Linked DNA regions of Styela clava. The protein of the gene in region 2 purifies or fractionates together with the protein of the main gene of each other region. This does not show direct contact. Links are inferred from orthologs where the notes say so. Each region holds a gene or a part of one and is shown on either strand. Other genes may lie near its edges.

What was found.
Region 1: the proteins of BET1 homolog (region 2) and Golgi SNAP receptor complex member 2-like purify together in Homo sapiens (affinity purification with mass spectrometry; 3 studies listed by BioGRID and IntAct, with this or other methods). This does not show direct contact. The link is inferred for Styela clava from reciprocal best matches to the Homo sapiens genes BET1 and GOSR2.

What each region holds. Positions count from the first base shown.
Region 1 is NC_135263.1:5,712,042-5,720,075, forward strand, and holds the start of Golgi SNAP receptor complex member 2-like, read right to left. Parts: upstream 3,238-8,034; 5' UTR 3,198-3,237; coding exon 2,559-3,197; 3' UTR 1-2,558. Other genes in the region: caspase-2-like, read left to right, coding at 4,413-5,654. UniProt on the Homo sapiens protein: Involved in transport of proteins from the cis/medial-Golgi to the trans-Golgi network.
Region 2 is NC_135259.1:21,485,829-21,493,423, reverse strand, and holds the start of BET1 homolog, read right to left. Parts: upstream 3,008-7,595; 5' UTR 2,765-3,007; coding exon 2,596-2,764; intron 1,931-2,595; coding exon 1,770-1,930; 3' UTR 1-1,769. UniProt on the Homo sapiens protein: Required for vesicular transport from the ER to the Golgi complex. Functions as a SNARE involved in the docking process of ER-derived vesicles with the cis-Golgi membrane.

The DNA.
Region 1 (8,034 bases), on a different chromosome or scaffold from region 2:
ATTTTAAAAGAAGGAAATCATGTAATCAAATAGTACATACATTTAGAAACAAGCTATCTTTTACTGCGATTGTGGGCACGATGGCCCAGCAGCTCAAGCCTTAGACTCTGCTGTGTTGGCATGGCAAATTCAAATCCCATATGAACCCCTCCAACCCAGGGCGTAATTTATTGAGTAGGCAAGGCCGAACTGAAAAAAATCAAGTCATTCATAGTAGCTCCCTATATATTGTTAAATATCAGTGGATATTTGGGCGTTCCGGAAATATGTGTACCAAGATGACGCAAACTGAACCCTGACCTGGTACACATACTATGTTCAGGTTGTGCGCCATCTTGGTACGGATACTTCGGGAGCTCCGATATTTGTACAGGACCTTGTTCAATGAAAGAGAGTCGTGGATACGCATTGAATAAAAAAAATGACCCTTACCTGAAAAAATGTTTTTGGTCCATTCTATTATAAAGATATAGAGTTATATTTTATCATGTAACTGGATGAAAGTTTAACATTCATAACATAATTACGTTTGAGAAAATATTGATTAAAAATACAGATTTTGGTCAAAATTAGAAATAGCTGTTGTGAATTCGCTTTGTGTTCTCCTGTTAAAATTATATAACCTGTCATAGAAAACCATTTGTTGAATAGAAAAATGGCCCAATTATTACATTTCACTCAATCTTTGCTGCTTTCTAAAGCTGCTGATGAAGTCGCATGTTAAGAAGGAAAAGAATAAACCTTAAATTGTTATATCTGTATATCATATATAGCCGGTTCCAACTTTGATTTACACAAGAAAGCTTAAACAAAAAAAGAAACAAATAGTACTTTAGGTAGCCCATAACAAACAAAGGGTTCAATGGATTCAGTAAAAGAGCATTTTTTCATGTGCCATGTGCTGCACAAAGATTATACAAGTGAAACAGTTTTTTCTTGCAGTCGATGTGAAATAGAGGAAAAAACAAACGAGAATTTCGGTCTTAGACCGAAGACTTATCGATCGAAAGTTAGGGGATCCCCCAAAACAGCACTCTTACTCCATAGTGACACCTTGTGTCCCATCACTAATTAATAACTCGCTGATTATACGACATAATTCGCCCAAAATCAATAGACTTCTGGTCCGAAATAAGATGAATGCACATGCAAAACCTGGAGCAGATTCAATCTCGCTTTCGTGAGATATCGCGTGCATCTAACAGACAGACAGACAAATACCTATCAACATACTTACCGATTAAAATCGATAAGTAACAATGTATCACTTGTAAAGAATACATAAAGATGTTTAAAAAAAAAGGTCAACCAAAAATTCCCTATAGTTGATAATTCTACAAAAAATCACCCAACTAACAGTTGGTTAGAGAGAACATTAAAGTTGAAAAATAAATAATGTTGGAAAAAACAAGGAGAATGTGATCTCATTCCGTTTTCTGTCCATATCTTTATCCTGATGTATTGTAAGTTGATAAATAGTGACAACTGACAATATTTATAATAACACGACACCAGGGTTGAGAAAAACAAATCAAATACATTTAAAATTAGTTACTGGGCAAGGTGCGGACCTATCTTGTTGTTGAGAAAAAAAGACTTTTCGCTAATGGATTTCAAATTTTCAGTTCTTGAAGATGGGAAGGGCCACTATTTATTCAAAAAAATTGCTGTTTTATTTTAACACTTTTCATTCAATCGTGCTTGGCCGCCTCTATCAGGCTTGTCTGCCATTTATTTCAGCGAACTCAGTTCTTTCAGCCTTACAGTACCTATACCTATGGATATAGCAAATCTGTGATTAGATAACTATTTAAAATGATTTCATTTCAAAACTCAGTATTTCCAGCAACAAACTTAAAAAAATAGGTTTCACTCAATCATTAACAAAATTTGGAAATTGAACAAACTGATGAATTTTTCAGATTTGTAGTTCGATATTTATAAAAAAAAATAGGTTTCACTCAATCATTAACAAAATTTGGAAATTGATCAAACTGATGAAATTTTCAGATTTGTTCGATTTCAAAGTTGATATAATAAAGTATATTGTAGTATTCCTTGTAAAACAGCTAAATTTTTTCAGAAAGTAAGCCCAGTATAACTATAAACCAAATGACATCCAAAGATAAATTTCAACAAATGCATTCAAAAATTGATATCCAATGTCTCAAGGTGTAAAGTTGGTAAGCAATGCTAAAAATGAGATTTATGTTCTTCCAAACGTAGTAAATGTAACCCAACATAAAATAAATGTGCTAATCATGCGCATGGGGCTCAGCTTGCCTTGCATTGAGAAAAAGTAAAACAAACCATATCAACTCAAAAAATGAATATTTCAGTATGCACTATAATATATATATATAAGAATTAAATATCAAAAATTTCACCGGGATACAAGCGTATCAAGTTTTTAGTAAGTTTGGCTATCAAAAATTAAGTAGCCTATATATACACATATATATCATTCATGGTAATTAATATTGCACGACCCAGACTTTGTGGGATGGCATCAATCGTTCTCCTTGTGAATAAGCGTTATCCACCAACAGATAAAAAAATTAAGCAAAATATTTCCAAATGAGAAACATGAAAATTGTTGTAAGTATCATTCCACCGAAGAGAACAAATTTATCCTGAGTCGTTCGTTTTTCAATCAAACGCATGACAGTGTTCGACATTCCGAGAGTGTTGGCAATATTTAGCATTTTGGTTTTGATTCCTTTTAAAGATCCACGCTGGTTTCGTAAATTTTCTATCACGCTACTGCCATGACTTATGAGATCATCCATTCCCTTATGAGCACCTTGTAATTTATGATGGTGATTTAAGCTGGCATCCATCTGTATTGAAGTATCGGCGTCATTCGTAGTAAATTTAGTTTCCATTAATAATTCTCTTTCTCTTTGCTGCTGATTTCTCACATATCTTCTATGTTGAAAATTACGCAAAGCAGATTGTAAATGTTGACAATCATATTTGACTTGATCGACCTTTAACCTCGCATTTTGCCGCCTCGTCGGATGTTCTTTGTTTACCAAAATATCCAGCCTGTCACAATTACCAACAATTTGATCGATGCGAGCTTGTAATTCATTTTCAATGACGTGGATGTCTTCATCTCGTGCCGTTTCTAATCGTCCCATATTTTGTTGGATCTCATGAACCATTTTATTGGTTTGATGATATAGATTCTCCATCTTAAACAAATATAAAATAAATATAGGAGCTAAAATACTGGAAACAGAAAAAGATTTCATATATCAGTATATAGGCAAGTCAATAAGGCAAATAAACATTTTTCCATTTCTCAAATTTCTAAATTCACTGATTGTGGTGATGTCTTTTGGGTCTGATACAAAAATAATTCGGCGATTCAACATGTTGATTCAGCTTAGTGAAAACTAGAACAACTCCTTATTACAGTATTATATTGTAAAGCAAAAAAATGTGATATGAAATTTTCATGTTTTTGAAAAAAAGGGTGATCTGGCGGAATGAAATTCAGCGTTAAATTAAATCATACCCATCCAATTTTAAACTAAGCAGGTCGTGCAAAATAGGATATCAATAGCCTTCCGTACAAGACAAACTTATCTTTAAAAACTCAAAATTTGGGCTGTATATTTTACATTACATTTTTGTTTTGCGTTATTTACGCTGTCACAGAATTTATTTTCACAATTCATTTTTGTTTGCTGTCATTTAACTACTTACGGCCTGTACTTCGCTAGACCCCATTAATTCGCTACACATTAATTTAAACTCGTGACATAGAATATTAGTGAAAAAATATCAAGCTACTCTCTAAATGGCTTTATAAAGTTAAAGAAAAAATTATGTCCCCAAGCTTTGCAGAGATGAGTTTATTGAAAACTAAACCCAACATGTTTTTGTTATGACTTCAGAACTTAGGTTATAAAACAATGAGCGCTCGGAAAATACGGTTAGTAATAAAGATAAAATATTATCACGCCTATTTGTATATATATATTTATATATACGAAAAAATATATATACAATGTAAGTTTAGCATCTAATATAGCAATTTCAAACTGTGACTGCCCCCTACGCTAACCAGTAAAAGACAGGCTAGCCGTAAGCGAAGCCCCAGGCTTGACGTGTCCAATATTAATAAATTTAATCTCATTTTATCTCTGCACTCAGAAACTATTCGAGCGTATTGAAATAGGAAAGCACATGTGAGAATATAAAAGAAACATAAAGAGAAACAAAGACGAGAGAGACAAGATTAAAGAGAGAAACGCCATTTTTTTAAAGGGCTAACGAAAGTAAACATTCGTTGAAATTCAAGAACCGGCGGGGTCGTTCGGAATATGTTCTTGTGGATTTCTTTTAGTGAACGGTATCTCTGTTCAGTGAGACGATAGGTATTCGTCTATAATTAATGAAAGATGGATCGATTGAGCAAAAAAATATTACAGAAAAATAGGCTTTTATTGGCACGATCATTGGACATCAGCGAACTCTTGCAATATCTGGTTCAAGAAGGAATTTTAAGCGATAGAATGGTTGAAAAAATCGAATCGAAATGCACGACTTTTGGTAAAAATGTCGCCTTTTTAAATATATTACCCACGAGAGGACCCCTGGCATTTGAAAAATTAGTAACTGGTTTAAAAGAGACGCAACAGGACTATTTAGCGGAGGCTCTGCAGTTTGACGAAGGTCCCCGAGATGAAAACTCGAACCTGCTCGAAGGACGCGACAGGACAGATACGAAATTCCACGCAAAAGAAAATATTTTGACCTCAATGGAAAATCCCATAGACTCTCATGATGGTCCTAGCAATTTGTTGGTCGAAAAGTCCACACTAGAATTCTATCGGGGAAACTACAACCGGGGATATAAGATGACGTCACGACCGAGAGGATATGCGCTTATCATAAATGTGACTGAATTCGACAACGGAGTTGATCTCCCGCAAAGACAAGGAGGAAATTTAGATAAAGAAAATCTTGGATCCGTTTTACATCATTTAGGATTCGAAACACTTCTTGTGGAAAATCGTACTGCCTCAGAGATAAGCAGCTCTCTGGAGACGTTTGCGCGCAATGAAAATCATAAATCACGCGACGCTTGCGTCGTCGCCCTCCTTACCCACGGACAAGAGGGAGTTGTCTATGGCCGCGATGGGAAAACACTAGTGATTGAAGATATAATATCCCTTTTCGACAATGCTAATTGTCCGAATTTACGGAACAAACCTAAAATATTCTTTGTACAAGCGTGTCGAGGGGATCTCTATGACAGGGGAATCGATGAGATCGACGGAGGCGCAAAGATCAGAAAATCTCGGTGCACAACGTCGACGTTTGATTACAGCTTTGACGAACCTCGTCTTCCTACACGATCGGACATGCTATTTGGATATGCAACTCAGCGAGGGCAAGCGGCAATGCGCAACACTCATCATGGAAGTTGGTACATCGAAGCACTTGTAAAAGTGTTAGCGAAAAACGCCAAGAACCACGATCTTGCAGAAATGCTGACATCGGTAAATAGCGTCATCAAAGGAATGCAGTGTCACTCGCCTGGATCGGACCTTCACAATTGCAAGGAAATGCCCATATTCCACAGCACCTTATGCAAGAAATTGTATTTATTCCCTGGAATATTTCAGAATAAAAAATGAAGATGACGGGTTTTCTGCCACCAAGCACAATGGTTGAACAGATAAAGCCTCTTCGACAAATCCATGAATCAAACTTTTCCTACCTTTTATTCCTCTTGAAGAAACCTTTCTTTCATTCTAACTCATTGTAGAAGATATTGTTCAAACCCTCACTCTAGTATTTAATATATAGCAATGCTTAATTTTAACAAAAATTTTATTTAAAAAAAAGTCTATTTTACGAATACAAAACATGTAATCATGAAAAATTCTGTTTTTAATAGCTTACAAAAAGCAGCACTAGAGATGTACCGATACCACTTTTTTCGCCGATACCGATACCGATCCGATACCAACTAAAAACGCCGATACCGATACCGATACGCCGATACTACAAAAAGGCCGATACTACCGATATTCCGATACCGATACTATGTAATTATTACTTAATTAGGTGTGCTGTGTAGGGCAGACGGGTTAAAACAATGGTCTTTGAGCGTTGTTCATAGCACACATTATTTCAGATCGAAAAAGAGATATATCACATAATATGAAGTTGATGTTTGGCATCCAGATGCTTTAACTGATTAAGATACAGGCTAGTAATCTCGGTGTTCAATTAGAAAAATCCTGATCCGGGATGTCCAATTCAGATTTATTGTTAATATCGCGACCTTCGAATATCGTTATTCATGTTTAAAAGAATATCGCCCACACATTCTAGCGCCGCCGTCCTACGTTCAAATTAAAAGCATTTTACAAATATTTTATTTTGTGGCTAATCGTAATCGTCGCCGCAATAAAACAAAGCCAACATGAAAGAATATCAATCAGCACCGACAAGAAGAAGGCCTACCTATAACCGTCGAGGAGGTTTTTTCACTTTACTATTTTATATTATTTTACAATTGCTATCATATATTTTGAGACAATCTAGTCTAACTCTAGGCGGTCATGTCAAAATATCTATAAAGAAATTGTGTAGTTAAACAAAATTAAAATTAATACCTGCGTAGACTGATAATTGTGTCGGAATTTAGTTTATCGATGTTGACGGACTAGGCTTGCACGTAATTGACAAAAATCAATTCCGTAATTACGGCCAAATCGATTACGTAATGACCCCGTAATTGCGATATTTTTTTCACACATTTAAACCTATCATAACAACCAATTTAATCCACTTCTATTCCGAATGGGACATCGGAGTTTGGTTTTCATATTCCCGGCAGTACTACACGCCGGCTACAGATGTTAAAGACAAATATCAATAAGTGAATTCAAAATAATTTTATTCTGATTTTTATCTTTTGTATTAGCTTTGATTTTTTTTATCCACTTTATCACCAAATTTTATGCGATCAATTTTATCATTACCAACACTGGTAATATATTTAGGAAACGATAGTTCACTTTTTTAAAATCGTATTAACGTATTAATACGACTTAATAAAAATTCCGGGTTGCTAATTTAATAATCAACTACAAGCGTATTCTCTCGTTTGATTATACTTTCGCTTGCCTCGCGACGAAGACTTGTTATTTCACCGTTTTCTACAATATCCGACTTTACTACTTAGTTAGCATTTTATGATAATTATTGATGCCGACTTATTGACGATATTTCGAATTCCATGCTTCATTCTACATTAAATCATTTCGCGGCCTAAAAGTTATAACATTATTTGCGATAAATTTAGATCAAATATTAATTATTTGCGCATTATTTAAAATACCGTACTTATATGACATGCCTTCTCTGAAAATACCAAGTTATGTCGCAAAACAATGCATTTTGTGACATTTATTTTGCACTCATGAAAATATTAATTTATTTTTCTAACTCAAGTCGACAATCCTATTTGCCAAGATTGACACAAGTTTGGTCGAGTGCCGGTGGTATTCGAGTCGACGATAAATCAAAATAAGTTGCCGCATTTGGTAAAGACAGGTAATCATATTTGGCCGACATATTGCGAGGCATTGTGAAAAACATATTGAGAAATGCCAAGTCCGGACAGATATATAACGATAAAATCGGTAACAGAACATCAAGATTTTGTAATAGAAAATGGATCTCGCGCAGAAAAAACCCTGGGAATCCCGTCGTATTGTTGTTTCTCTGCCGTCTCAATCGCTTTACCGATGCCGAAAAGACGAAGTTGCGTCGGTTCATTACGCAATTTCTCTTCCGTCTTTATATTGCTGTTTGATAAGCGCGACATTAATTATCACGGCATTTACAAAAAGACCATGTTTTATAAGTTGATCTCTTACATTCTTTAGTCATTTCACCCGAAGAAGTTGAAACCAGGTGTGTTGACGTCCATCGGTCTCAACACAATTCTATTCTTTATCTACGGTTAATATGTACATTGGCCATCCTAGATAAGTTGATAAT
Region 2 (7,595 bases):
TTTTAAACCTCTCCGAAGAGTCGATTGGGTTTTGGGCATCCCTGATAAACATTGTACAAGAACATGAGATTGACGTCAAAAATATTTCATTTAAATACATTTGAAAATACCCTGGTATAAGCAATAATGTTCACAAATAACAATAACTAACAACAAACACACCGAATAGCTTACTTAAACTGTTACGGCAAAGCAGTTAATAATAGGCAGCACCAATTACAACACCAGTCGTGACAAAAAAAAATCAAAAGAGCAAAATAAAATCTTTGAAAAATAAATAAACAAAAGTTAGGAGACGCTATTTTGGCAACAAGACAAAGTATAATTTTTTATGTCAGTGGTTAACAAGCAATTTTCCCTAAAACAACTTTTCCTCTGATTGATTGAACATGACCTTGTTAGCATGTAACCGTACAAACAATCAAAAAAAAACTGATGAAATTACATTTTGTGTAGATATGCGGTTCTAACCTTTTTCTTATTTTGCAGATGAAGTCATTATAGTATTTTTAGTTGTATATTTTAAACTTGAATAAAGTCAAATGCAGTTATGAATCAGTTAAATTTTAAAGTATATCCGACCAAGGCAGTGGCTATAAGTTAATATATATTGATCGTTGGTCACACAAGAAAAAAAAAAGGTTAGCTTATCATAGGGTCGCCATTTTATTGCCTCTCCTGAACATTTTTGCCAAAAATTTACATCTCCTCGCCATAGCAGGGTGGTTCACCGTAAGAACTGACCTATGACAAATACCTACTGAATATTTGTACCCAGGGCACAGCCAGGATTTTCAACCTTATGAAACAGTTGCTGTGATTGCGCGTTCGGTAAAGGAGCCAGCTTTTTCAGCGTAAAATGACTTTTCTGCCATGTAAAATATTCACTCCATGACAACAACGAGAATCTAAAATGTCTAAGACAATCAACGATTTTTAGCAAAATGCAAGCGCACATATTATTGGCAAATTTTCCAGTCTTTTAATAATTTTGAAACAGAGGTTACAAGACCGAAAACCCCTTGGCTGTACCCCACTGTTTGTACCTACTTGATATTAGAAATATCCCGGTTAAATTCGACTTTAAGCAGTGACTTGATATTTGCTTTATCAGAAAAACAAACGGTAGGCTTATCACACTGATCACACTATTGTGAAAATTAGTCTGAATGCAGGATTGCTGAATGACTGAATAATTTGAAATGAAAAAGAGTTGGAAAATTCAAGTTCAAAGCATTCGCAACCAGCACAAAGTCCAATGATATTGTAAAGTTTCTTTTCCAAAGAGCAGAAAAAATATACAAGATATTTAAAGCTAAAATTTTAAGAAAAATTCAAATTCTAATCTTCAAACTAATGTTACCACAATGTCCACAAATTTATAAAAAAAATTCTCTCAAGAGAGATACCGGGTCTTGTGCAGTTTCTTGCCAAAATAACTTCTAGTAGACATGGCATAAATTTTTCGCATATGTCATTCCTAACCCAAACTTAGGAGTACATGTGTTACTAAACTAGACTCAAGATATTTTCTTCCAAATTGCACTGTGCGTTAAAATTTCAAGGATGACCCAAGAAGAATTTTTCAGAATATATCGAGCCATTATTTGAGTGAGTTTAGCGTTTAAAAATCTACCCCTCCACTTCAAAGTCCATGGACTTTATTTTCCGAGAACAACTCTCTAAATTTCTAGTAGTATTCGAACTATCCAAGCCATTAATCCGTATCTAAATTCATCTAAAATCTGTATAACTTTGAAAATTTCCTCTTATTTCAGTCTTATCATCCAATACATGACGAAAAACACCGCCATAGCAAAGAGGAATAAGTAACAGTACATTTTTCCGTATCCGTGCCTCGCTATTCCCTTCAGTCGACCCATCGTTGATCCGAGAAAACCCCCAACCTTGTCCATGTCATCGTCCATACCTGGAAAGGAAAATAAATAAGTTGTTGTTGGACTTGAAAATTACAAATGGCGAACCACGGCCTCTCGTTCAGTTACCAGTAAGAGTCTGTCTCGGGCGGAACTCTATTGGTACCATATTTGGCATGAGCTGTTGAAAATTGAGGACTTGATTAAACTAAAAGCGCGTGCCAAGTCATGTCATTCCTAATCTCCACCTAACTACAGCATCCAAAATTTACGACAGAGTGACGAAACAAAGCACGCCAAAATATTCGGATGATCGTCCAAAAGACTAAAACACGCAACGATTACCTCGAGACGAGCAACCAATTTCTCTTGTTTTCTCCCCGTAACAACCTCGATAAGAGAGAGATCGCTGGTGTTAGTAAGTTCATTATTGTCGGCGCAGTTGTCATTTCGGACGATCATGGCTATGCTTTAGAAAGCTATATGACATGATTTTGATGTCGCAGTGACATAATTTATGGACGGCGTAGTCAGGTGGGGGTTAGGAATCAAATATGCAAAATTGTTACGACAACTCCACTAGAAGTTACAGTATTGAGGTGCGAAAGTACACGAGACCCAATATCACATTGGTTAAAAACTTATTTGCGTTTCAAGCAACATAGGAATATTATTACAGATACAGTTAACAGCACATTGTAATAAATTTTTTACCAACCCGCTAATTCCCGATTCTGTAGTCTGACTTCTTCTCCTATATCAATTGTCAAAGTTTTAAGAGCGGAAACTTTATGTTTTAATTCCTCTTCCATACGGTCATTCTCCTCTCCATAAACCGACCGTTGTTGTCCCCCCATAGGGGAATACCCGGTCCCAGCACGCCGCATTATTTCAGTACAGTTATGTTGTCAAAACGGCAAAATAAATTTCTCCAATTTTAAACGATTTTTGAGTATTTGTACGGCAGTCAGTGACAAGTATCAAAAACCTTATTGACGCAGTTTCAAAATGTTCCTTCTTGAATTCCAATCTATTAGGCTATAATAATCTAACACTTATTATTTCTTAGTCTTCTCGCCTATTACGTAGCAAATTATGCAGAAAAAAACGTAGAAAGGTCTGAAATTAAAAACGCAGAAATCAGAGAAACGGCAACAACATAAGGCGGAGACCGATAATAGGAACTTAGAGGATGTGGTGGACTGAGTCAATATTTTACTAAAATGCGTCAATGATTTGCACAAACCACCATATGGAATAAGATAGGATTCTGAAACAGTATTTATCCCGGGGGGAGGAAAGCCGATAAGAATGTTTATCCATATGGCAAACCACAGCCTCTCGTCCGGTTACCATTCCAAGTCGGGTATGTGATTAGTTATATTGTTCGTTTTTGGAAGCATGGACTTGGTGGTGGAGGAAGCCGTAACCGACCAGCGGTTACGTGAATCAACCAACGACGGCGAGGAGTCCAGCAATCCTCTCGCACATAACCATCCCTGCATGGGATTCGAACCTGCGAACCCACGCAGAGTAATTAGGGGTGCGGTGGCGAGCGTATAGGATCCTAACGCTTAGTCCGTTGAGCCACACCATCGAACATTTGGTCACGATATAAGTTTGGTTCCGATAAAAGTCACAGTTGGTCCTCATCGCTATCTGTCCGAAGGTCTGCTACAAAAAACTCAACACTTTCTATGCACGCACTCAAATGGTTCGTAATGTAACCGTAACCAGTCAGCGGTTAGAGAAACATCATAATACCCGGTTTCCATGCCCGAAATGATCTGGCAACGGACGAAAGGCCGTAGTTCCCCATACGGTATGGACTTCCTCGAGCATCAACTTCCTTGTTTACTTCATGACTTTGGCTAATCGCAAGATGCGAAAAGTGACGTAACAATGCCCCCTTTTCCACTGGGACACTTTTTTCACTCAGGCAAATTTTCAGGCGTTGCCGTAAACATTACCTCGTTTTCGCGTTTTTGAACTCTATTCGTTAGTTTTCAGTTGTGTTTCTGAAATTTAAATATAAATCAGATAATTCAATGATACCTCTGTCTTCCTAGGAGTTTCAATTTAATTGCAGTAATGAAAAATTAGTGTAGAAATAGCTGTGATAGACTAGGCTAAAATTCTTTACCGGTACTTTTAAACAACAGATTGTCGAGCAGCGGTTTGTTAAAGATGGGTTTTGTATACCGTATTTCGACTGCGCTCCAATCATTGCATACCATAACGAGACTCGGAAACAAGGCAGAATAATGATAAGATTTACATATTTATCCCGGGGAGAGGAAAGCCGATAAGACGGCTTAACCATATGGCGAACAACGGCCTCTCGTCCGGTTACCATTCCATGTCAATTATGAGATTAGTTAGTTATTTGTTTTCAGAAGCATGGACTTGATGGTGGAGGAAGCCCTAACCGACCAGCGGTTACGTGAACCACCCTACGGCGGCGAGGAGTCCAGCAATCCTCTCGCACATAACCATCACTCATGGGATGCGAACCCACGCAGAGTAATCAGAAGTGCGATGGCGAGCGTATTCTTAACGCTTAGCACGATGAGCCACGCCGCCATTGCAACGGTAGCCAAAAAGGGAGTCCTGAGGAGCCATGGTCCCTCCTAATATTTTCAACATTTTTCTGGTACCGGTAGTCTATTTAGATGTTTAGATATACAAATACAAAACGCGATAGATAGAGCAAACCTGAAATCACGTAAGTAACCAGTTAAATATATTAGTATGTTTTTAAATATGCACGGTCTTGCAAGTACCAATAAAAATCATAAAAATTAAATGAAATTTCGTCAAAATTTATTTATTAATTAATATCTTACTTATTTTGTAAATACCCAGTCCAACGGGGTTAAAAGATTACCGCCGAGTTAAGACTTATTTTATATTCGCTAGGTGGCGGTATAGTTCCACACCTGGCCGTGATCATATTCACCCCTTTTATCGGTCACCGACTTTGATGGCGTGTGGAATTGTCATGATCACAGCGGCGATGGACAGTTTCATGGATATAGAAACAATGTGGAGCATCGACTTACGGCGTATTTGGATCAGTTTATATCCTAAGTTCCTAAGTACGAATTCGCTATTGTTAAATATCTACTAGAACTGAAGTCAGATAATTTGATTTCTAAGCACGCAGTCTGAAGTATGCTTAAAATTTGCAACAAAACGATGGCATAGTGCTTATAAGTTCGGTCTAACAATCTTGGTATCGCTGGAGTCCCTTGAACTCGGGATCTAATACACTAAACAGGCAGTGCGAAGTTGGTAAAATCCTGTCCGGACAAATATTGATTGACTATTTTTGCTAAGCCCCACAAATAAATTTACAAAATTAAAAAACAAAAACACTTTGTTAATTACCGACTTATTTCCCTGATTGAAAAAAATTACTTTGTTTGAAGACTCGGATGTATTAGCCTAGTACTAGTACTTAAAAACATTGAAGATTTATTTAAGTAAATGAATAACTCACGGAGCCTCTGGATTTCTCTCACGAATCCGTGGGGCTCCGTACGCAGCACTTTGATAACTTATGGTATAGGACAGGGCTACTCAACTGGCGGACCGCGGTCCAAATCCGGACCTTTCGACCATTTCATTTGGACCGCATCTGCTTGTTTATTTTGGCAGCATAAGCATCGTTTTAGTTTTAGAGGATTTTGATACAATTTAAATACACAGCTACACAGTTTGTCGTACTGGTACCGATGTGCGACATTTGTGTTCATATTTGCGAGCCATTCATTGCTCTTGTATTTAATTTAATATTGCATTTGAAATTTCGTTTATTTGATGAAATAAATTTTCTGTAATGTCCGGACCCCAGTAATTTTGAAGTTTCGTAAACGGAACTTTGGTGAAAATAGTTGAGTAGCCCTGGTATAAGACAGGCTGAAGTATATCTCATTCCCGCTCAAGCTACTTATTAGCTTATACCAGTGGTTCCAAAACCGCGGCCCGCGGGCCAATTACAGCCCCCGTAACGTTTTAATAGGGCCCGCCTAACTTGAGTGAAATAGTTTAAAACTTTATGTTTACCGAGAATTGTTATCATCGCTATCATTTAAGCACGTGTATATTCGTAACAGTTCAATTATTCGTTATCCTCATTAAAAAATGAACGCCAGTAATGAATGAGTACTGGCCTCGGACAGACGAAGCGTTACCGATATACGAATGTGCCAATGTCCTCGAATCACTCAGAATAGTTATCTTTGGAAATAATACAGGGTGTCCCACAAGGTTCCATTACATTTGAACCCACGTACATTTTAACCCACGACGATTGCACCTGCATACTATTGCACCTATGGAAATTTTTTTTGTTTTACGGATAGTTGAACCCATACTAACCATAACCCATGGGTTTAGCACCCGCGTATAGATTGAATCCGCGAATATACACATGGGTTCAAATGTACGGTCACCATTCCACAGTAATAACAACTAAAAATTTCGCCCGATTTTATAGTAACAACAATTGTAAGTTTGAATCAATTTTACTATATGATAAACGAGAACGACAAGCACAATATTATTAAACAGAGACAAAGAAAATTTTGATTGTTACCACTACAAAATCGTGCTGCGAAATTGTATATTCGTAACAATTGTTCGTCATCCTTATTATACGTGCCGTGCCGGTACCGACATAGGCCCCTTTGAAGCGCACCTCTTTCCTGGCCCGGGAATATCATTCAGCTTCTAATTTTGGCCCGCTGTCAATCAAATTTGAGAACTACTCTCTAAACCAGGGGTGGGCACGGTTTTTAGACCAGGGGCCGAAAATTTTGCCCACCTTGTCTGGCGGGCCATGTAAGTGTGACGTAAAAAGATACATTTTATGAACAATATTTCTATTGTTGCAAAAGTGGAAAACAATCAGCCTCGTGGCAAAACTGAATTTAATCGCAATTTCAACAAATTTTTTGAGATTTTTCTAGCTAAGCATCTAAATTTGGTTTTAATTTGGTTGTGGCAGCATCAGGCGTGCGAGATTGAACTACCCAATGGGCCGGATTTGGCCCGCATGCTGTAGTTTGCTCATGTCTGCTCTAAACGAAACACTATCGTGCAAGTGTGTGGTATCAGAACGCCTGTTCCAAAAATAAACCTAATTATCATGGATACCGCACAAGTATGGTACAGGGATATTAATACTTTTAAAAACCGGCCCACGTGTGATTACAAGCGCCTGAGAAAAATACGCAGACTTTAAAAATGTCGTAAATACTTTCATCAGACCGTGACCGGTGTCCTTTTGATGACTTCAGTGACAATTCCATGCCCACTACCAGGGCTGGTCATTTTGAATCGAATATTCTTGATTTATTATATAAAGCGAATCCAAGTAAATTTCACGTGTTTTTTAACAGTGCAGATGTCAGTAATGAACGAGTAGTGGCCTACGACAAACAAAGCGTTACAAATAAACAACTGTGTTTATGTGCAACAAGGTCCTTGAATCACTCAAAACAGTTATATACGGAAATACAGGATGTTCAAAAAATTTCACCCGACCTAACAGCGCTAACAATGATAATTTTGCGCGATTTTAGAGTAATAACAATTGTGAGTTTAAATAAATTTTATTGTATGATGAACGAGAACGACAAGCACAATATTAAAAACAGAAACAAAGAATTTTTGATTGTTACAAAATCGGGCGAAATTTTTTAGACACTCTGC